Drosophila melanogaster: one gene and its partner. The protein of the gene in region 1 interacts with the protein of each later gene in a pairwise test. Each region holds a gene or a part of one and is shown on either strand. Other genes may lie near its edges. The genes, in order: Cyp6a23 and Rchy1.

Region 1 (3,927 bases):
GCCAAATAAGCGGCACATTGCCGAGATCTTTCGGGACTATTACTTCAAGTACAAGAACTCCGATTACCCATTCGCTGGATTTTTCTTCTTTTTCACCCGCACTGCTGTGGTCACCGACATGGAATTGCTCAAGAGGGTGCTGATCAAGGACTTCAATCACTTTGAGAATCGGGGAGTCTTCTACAACGAGATCGATGATCCGCTGTCGGCCACCTTGTTCAGCATCGAGGGTCAGAAGTGGCGTCATCTGCGGCACAAACTGACACCCACTTTTACGTCCGGCAAAATGAAGAACATGTTTCCGATTGTTGTGAAAGTTGGAGAAGAAATGGATAAGGTCTTCAGAAGTAAAACCGCTGCGGATCGGGGTCAAGTTTTGGAGGTTGTGGATCTGGTGGCACGGTACACCGCCGATGTGATCGGCAACTGCGCATTCGGTCTCAATTGCAACAGCTTGTACGATCCAAAGGCTGAATTTGTGTCAATTGGCAAGCGGGCGATCACCGAGCATCGCTACGGGAATATGCTGGATATATTCCTCTTTGGATTTCCCAAGTTATCGCGCCGCTTACGTCTGAAACTAAATATCCAGGAGGCAGAGGACTTTTACACCAAGATCGTGAGGGAAACCATTGACTACCGTCTACGGACGAAGGAAAAGCGAAATGATTTCATGGACAGTCTGATAGAGATGTATAAGAATGAGCAGTCGGGAAATTCGGAGGATGGCCTGACCTTTAACGAACTTCTCGCTCAGGCTTTCATATTTTTTGTGGCTGGGTTTGAGACAAGCTCCACGACCATGGGATTCGCTCTATATGAGCTGGCCAGGAACCAGGATGTTCAGGATAAACTCAGGGAGGAGATTGGCAATGTGTTCGGCAAGCATAACAAAGAGTTCACCTACGAGGGAATCAAGGAGATGAAATACCTGGAGCAGGTTGTGATGGGTATGTTTCTTTAATCCTTCTTATTTTTTATTTGATACATTTATTTAAATATTGTTTTAGAAACGCTGCGAAAGTACCCAGTACTGGCTCATCTTACAAGAATGACTGACACCGACTTTTCGCCTGAAGATCCAAAATACTTCATTGCCAAGGGAACCATTGTTGTGATCCCAGCTTTGGGCATTCACTATGATCCGGACATATATCCGGAACCGGAGATATTCAAGCCAGAACGCTTTACCGACGAGGAAATCGCGGCGAGACCCTCGTGCACTTGGCTTCCATTTGGAGAAGGTCCGCGGAACTGCATTGGTCTGCGGTTTGGAATGATGCAAACCTGTGTGGGCTTGGCCTACTTGATCAGGGGCTATAAATTCAGTGTTTCCCCGGAAACTCAAATACCCATGAAGATTGTCGTTAAGAACATTCTGATATCGGCCGAGAATGGTATCCACCTTAAAGTGGAGAAGCTCGCCAAATAAGTTTTTAACAAATACATTATTTGTGTTCTTTATTTTGCTTGATTCACTTACGTGATCGATTAGATTAGGCTGTGCTCAGTTAATATGAATTTAAGCCCTCTTTAACTAACCTTTTTAATGTGTTATGTGTTAGGCAATGTTTTGATTTGCTAGCAAACATCACATAATAAGGCATACACACACCGAAAGCAATAATATTCGCTTTATCAACTAGCTTCTGAGTACATTTGAAGAGATTAGAAGAGAACGTTCGCGTATAAAGGGGCCATATCATTCCGGTTGGTAACTCAGTGTGGAGCGGACTGAGAACGAAATATGTCGCTGTTACTAACGTTGATCGCACTTCTAGTGTCACTGCTTTTGTTCATGGCCCGCCGACGTCATGGATACTGGCAGAGGCGGGGTATTCCGCACGATGTGCCCCATCCAATATACGGAAACATGAAGGACTGGCCCAAGAAGCGACACATTGCGATGATCTTCCGGGACTACTATACAAAGTACAAACGTTCCGTTTATCCGTTTGCCGGGTTCTACTTCTTTTTCACCCGGTCTGCTGTCATCACCGACTTGGAATTGGTCAAGAGGGTGCTGATCAAGGACTTCAATCACTTTGAGAATCGAGGAATTTTCTACAATGAGATCGATGATCCGCTGTCGGCCACCTTGTTCAGCATCGAGGGTCAGAAGTGGCGTCATCTGAGGCACAAACTGACACCCACTTTTACGTCCGGCAAAATGAAGAACATGTTTCCGATTATTGTGAAGGTTGGGGAGGAAATGGAGAAGATTTTCAGTGCTAAAACCACCACAGGTGAAGGTCAAGTTCTGGAAATTGTGGATCTGGTGGCTCGATATACGGCTGACGTAATCGGTAATTGCGCCTTCGGTTTAAATTGCAATAGTTTGCAAAACCCGAATGCAGAGTTTGTGACAATCGGAAAAAGGGCGATCATAGAACGTCGTTATGGAGGACTATTGGATTTCCTGATATTCGGATTTCCCAAACTTTCCCGCCGCCTGCGGCTTAAACTAAACGTGCAGGATGTTGAGGACTTTTACACTAGCATTGTTAGGAATACTATCGACTACCGATTGAGGACCAACGAGAAGCGTCACGACTTCATGGACAGTTTAATCGAAATGTACGAGAAGGAGCAGGCCGGAAACACTGAGGATGGCCTGTCCTTCAACGAGATCTTGGCACAGGCCTTTATTTTCTTTGTGGCTGGCTTCGAGACCAGCTCGACGACCATGGGATTTGCCCTGTACGAGCTCGCCCTCGATCAGGATATTCAGGATCAACTTAGGGCGGAGATCAACAATGTTCTGAGCAAACACAACAACGAGTTTACCTACGAGGGAATCAAAGAGATGAAGTATCTGGAGCAGGTCGTCATGGGTAAGTAAAATCCCAAGAGGTTGCATAACTTTACCTAAAGGGCCTTTTCCCATTTTACGCCACAGAAACCCTTCGCAAGTATCCAGTTCTGGCGCATCTAACGCGAATGACCCAGACAGATTTTTCGCCTGAAGATCCTAAATACTTTATTGCCAAGGGAACCACTGTTGTGATCCCAGCTCTTGGTATTCACTATGATCCGGAAATCTATCCCGAACCGGAGAAGTTCAAGCCGGAGCGATTTACGGATGAGGCGATCGCCGCGAGACCCTCGTGCACCTGGCTGCCGTTTGGAGAAGGTCCCCGGAACTGCATCGGTCTTCGGTTTGGACTGATGCAGGCCTGCGTGGGATTGGCCTATCTAATCCGAGGCTATAAGTTCAGTGTGTCCACAGAAACACAAATTCCCATGAAGTTTGTCGTGAAAAGCATTCTTCTGTCTGCTGAGAATGGCATTCACCTTAAAGTTGAGAAGCTTTCCAAATGAGACTATAAACAAAATTATTATGGGCTTTAATGGTTAAATATTACAATTTTATTTGGTCATTTATTCACGGCTATATATGATTTTTTTGAATTAAATCCCTCTTAAAGCTCATATTCAGTATATGAGAGTATAGCATTCAAATTAAGCCTTGTTAGTTTGTTGTTGTAAATTTATTGTAAATATTTGTGGTAATACCCTCAATAAATTTTTGTTCAGCTTTTTTGCTATTAGCACCTCTATCTGGAAGTGAACAGTTAAATTTTCTTGGTTACGACTAAAAAAGAGGAGCAGGCGATAGCTAGATGGAAAGCTCTTCTTCATAAAAGCAACGCTTGGAATTGGTTTCTCAAATCAGTCTGCTCAAAATGGCGATCCTGCTCGGTTTGGTGGTCGGTGTCCTTACGCTCGTCGCTTGGTGGGTGCTCCAGAACTACACCTACTGGAAACGGCGAGGAATTCCCCATGATCCACCCAATATTCCGCTCGGCAATACCGGCGAACTTTGGAGAACAATGCCGCTGGCCGGCATCCTCAAGCGAACATATCTGAAATTCAGGAAACAGACCGACGGACCTTTTGCGGGCTTCTACCTCTATGCTATGAAGT
Region 2 (3,927 bases), on another chromosome or scaffold:
AGGCCCTGGAAATTGGACAGTGGGAGGAAAAGCTCAAGGCCGCCGGCGTCGAGGACAGGAAGTTCAACGTGAAATGCATCGTGTCGCATGTCCTGAAGCAGAAGTTTGTAAGTATCTGTGAGAAAAGCTGGCTATCAACATCACTAACCATGTTTACGTTCCGTAGAGTTCGGTTCCTGACTCATTTGACCAGCTGCAGCTAAATCCCGGCCAGCTGGCGGATTTCGAGCGCTTCCTGGAGGCCCGTTGTGCCCGCATGCCGTTGCAGCACATCATTGGCGAGTGGGACTTCATGGACATTACGCTGAAGACATCGCCGTCGGTCTTCATTCCACGCCCCGAAACGGAGGAGTTTATGCGCCTGGTGATCGATGATCACAAGAACGCAAAGCACGTCGATCTTTTGGAGGTGGGCTGCGGCTCGGGCGCCATGTCCTTGTCCATGCTACACAGTCTGCCGCAGGTGGTGGCCACTGCCATTGAGCGTAGCAAGGCGGCAACCGTTCTGGCTGCGGAGAATGCCAAAATGCTGGGGCTGCTGAATCGATTTGAGGTACACAACCACACCATGGAGGAGGACAAGTACCTGCCGGAGGCGCTGAAGGACAAGAAGTACGATTTGATCATCTCCAATCCTCCGTATGTGAAAACTGAGGAGTTTCAGTTTCTGCATCCCGAAGTCGTGGTGTAAGTGATGTTATACCAGATGGATGCAGTGCACTAACTATCTTATATCCCCAGGTATGAGAACCTTAATGCCCTGGACGGTGGGTCCGATGGATTGAGGGTGGCTCGACTGGTTTTCGACTTGGCTTGTCGGCACCTGCGTCCCGGTGGCAAGCTCTGGCTGGAACTGGGCAACGACCACCCGCCGATGGTGAAGACCATTATGAATCTGAAGTACGAGGGCCGGCTCAAGTTCATCGCCGGCTACAGTGACCAGTATCAGCGCGAGAGATTCGTTCAGATCGAGAAGGTCTAGGCGAGATTGCGCCATAGACAGGACGGAATGCTATGACTTTGACAATGCAATTAGCTATAACGTTGCCCATGCATTTAGCTGTGATTTGATTTAAGACCAGACATACCTGCACGCTGCCCAGAGACTCACACCTATATAAACAGAATATATAGCGCTATTAATCCTTAAGTTTCGTCTCTGAATCTTTTAGCAACAACCGCAGGCGGTATTACTTCACAAATATACCTGTATAAATTGCACAATGCAATTAGCTGTTTGATTTATGACCATATTATTATCAGTATACAAAAACCACAACGACTTTTACCTAAGGCTTTCTACTGCATTTTTGATCCTATAATAATGGATTAACATGATTTTAAAGATCAATAGGTTAAAAGTATAATGCACCTATAATAACTGGTCACTGATTTAAACTATGGCGATTATGATTTATAACCAGAGGCTTGCTGCCATAAATTGGAGGGTGTTAATGATCATCGCGGATCGAGTATAATGCTGTTTAATCAAACTGATGTATTCTATATCTGCGATAAGCAAAATGCTAACCATATTTTTGGCCTGAAAGATGTGTATCCTGTCAATATATAGAATCAGAATATTTCTATGCAAATTAGAAAGTTTTTGCTTAAAGTTACCACTTTAATGCTTATAGGTGTACTGATTATGAAAACAAGGACACATGTCCACAAGGATTACCATAATTATGAACCCGAGTGCATAAATCCCCCGACTTCGCATCTGAATCTTGTTGTAACCGCTCCGCTGGAGAGCTTTAAGCTCCGGAGCGGATAAAAGCTCCGACAGAGTGGCTCGGAGCAACAAGTGGCTAACTTCCGTTGCCAGTTGGAAGTCGAAACTCGCGCCGGACGAGTCTGCGGAATCCGGGTGCGCGAGTGGAACGCGGATTTAGATTGTCGTAGCTCTTTAATTCAATTGACGATTTCGAGCTGCGATCTCCTTCGTTCGGCTGGTGTGTGTTGTTTCACTTTCAAGTACGCATACATATGTGTAGTATAATTAACAAATGGCTAAATCATAATTAAAGTCGGAGTTTCAGTGGATATCACAATGAGCGCTTGATGAAAGTCAAGAAGAGGGAACTTAAAAAGCGCCGAAACAAAACAAAAACGAGAAACACGTTAAACGAGAAATTGATTTTAAAAATTCTACATAAATTTGACCATATAGATTTGGGTAAATGAATGAATGTGCATATATATGTACATGTATATATATATACATACGCCCAAACTGCGATTTGAAGGCGGTTTGAATGTGGATTGGAAACTTTTAGAAACCAATTAGCCAGATCGTGACATTACTTAATGCATTTATCCGCCCGATCGACGCGTGCAAGTGTGTGCCTGTGTGCGTGAGTGCGTGCGTGCGTAAACATGAATACCGAATTGAATCGAGTTCAAACTTGCGTTCTTTTCGCCGACTGGTTTTCCGGCGAGGCTGGCTTAATCGCCTTGCGTTTGTAATTTTAGCACACTTTCAATATTTATTGTCGGTCCCTGCTCCCCGGCGCAGAAAATGCGAATAACAATCTGAGCAAACAAGATTCGGCAACGAATTTGCAGCTTGCCGCGCTGTGCAAATAAAAGTATATATAAAAGTATGTACATATATACATTTATATATAGCTGGTAATGCCTCCTTTGGCAGCATCAATATGTGCACCTGCTACGTGCAACACCGACTTGCAGCAACAGCCAACCGATGAGCGAAAGTCGCACGCCGATTGTGTTAACAAGTGTGTGGCTGGCTGCTCCCTGCCCGCATTTTAATTCATCATCCGCACCGTGTGCCAAGGCACTGCGATTCCCAATCCGTGGAGCTGTGAACGTTTTTGGCGACCTGCAGGCTAAGCAAGCGATTTATATGCTGCCGCTCACATGGCACAAGGTCCCATCCAAAAACAGCAGCGGCCAAGATAGTAGTTCATATGCACATATTTGGGTTCTTAACAGGTTAATTGTCATTTTATAATGATATGGGTTTAATAGGTTTCCATATCTGATCCAAAACTATACAGAAATGGAAGAAAGTCATCATAGGTGATCTTTTATTTGATAATTTCTTACATAAAGTTACTACTTCTTGTTCCCCATTGTACGTTGTGTACAGTGCGCGACGGCTAAGAAAACGGAGTGAAAATCAAGATAGTCGTTATCTAGTTTAGATGGCCTTTCGCAGTCGGGGACTGGGAAACATTGAAATGCAAATACGCCGCCTCGGTAGTTTCATTTGTGTGTCAAAAATTGTGTGGGGGTGTGGGGGGTTAACCCGGCTTAGACTCTAATCTGATCGATCGGAGTGTGAGAAATGGCCTGCTAATGGAATACTTACCACTTTCCCACACTTTTCAATCGCTTCAGCCGAGTGTGTCACCTGTGCGAGCCCATTAATACCCAAGGATGAGCTGGACAAACGAAAGTTAGTTGCGATCGCGTGAAAAGGGAAACCGGACAGTCGGTTTTTTGAGTGCGGATACAAAGTCTACATGTGGCACAACGACAACAGCATCGGCCAGTAATTTAAATGCTTCGCGGCGGCAATTGAAAGGGCCAGCAATTAACCACGACTACTGCAGCTGCGAGGCATAGTGGAAAATCACTTTTATAGACGTACATACATAACTCTATATATACATAGAGTTAGCTCCTGCAGCAAAATGAAGAACCGCCAGCGAACGCGCCGAATATCGCTAAATGAAAACCACAACAGATACATGGGCAGCGGCGGCATCGATGTACAAATAGTTACCAATACAAAGGAGCCCAATCAAGTCAATTTAAATTCATCGTCAGCCACGACGACCTCAGCGGAGGCTGCTCTGCCCGCTTCGCTTCCACTTGCTCAGATAGCGCAGCAGCCACATACCCATCCCCATCCCCATCCCAATCCCCATCTCCACCAGCAACACCAGCTGATTGTGA

Evidence for each region.
Region 2: the proteins of Cyp6a23 (region 1) and Rchy1 interact in a two-hybrid assay, tested with the Drosophila melanogaster proteins (one large-scale study listed by BioGRID).

Annotation. Positions count from the first base shown.
Region 1 is NT_033778.4:14,874,114-14,878,040, forward strand, and holds Cyp6a23 (cytochrome P450 6a23), read left to right. Parts: upstream 1-1,715; 5' UTR 1,716-1,747; coding exon 1,748-2,834; intron 2,835-2,899; coding exon 2,900-3,321; 3' UTR 3,322-3,541; downstream 3,542-3,927. Other genes in the region: Cyp6a17 (cytochrome P450 6a17), read left to right, coding at 1-950, 1,011-1,432; Cyp6a19 (cytochrome P450 6a19), read left to right, coding at 3,687-3,927. UniProt on the Drosophila melanogaster protein: May be involved in the metabolism of insect hormones and in the breakdown of synthetic insecticides.
Region 2 is NT_033779.5:6,463,579-6,467,505, reverse strand, and holds the start of Rchy1 (ring finger and CHY zinc finger domain containing 1), read left to right. Parts: upstream 1-1,836; 5' UTR 1,837-1,977; intron 1,978-3,366; 5' UTR 3,367-3,662; coding exon 3,663-3,927. Other genes in the region: HemK1 (HemK methyltransferase 1), read left to right, coding at 1-107, 167-687, 742-982.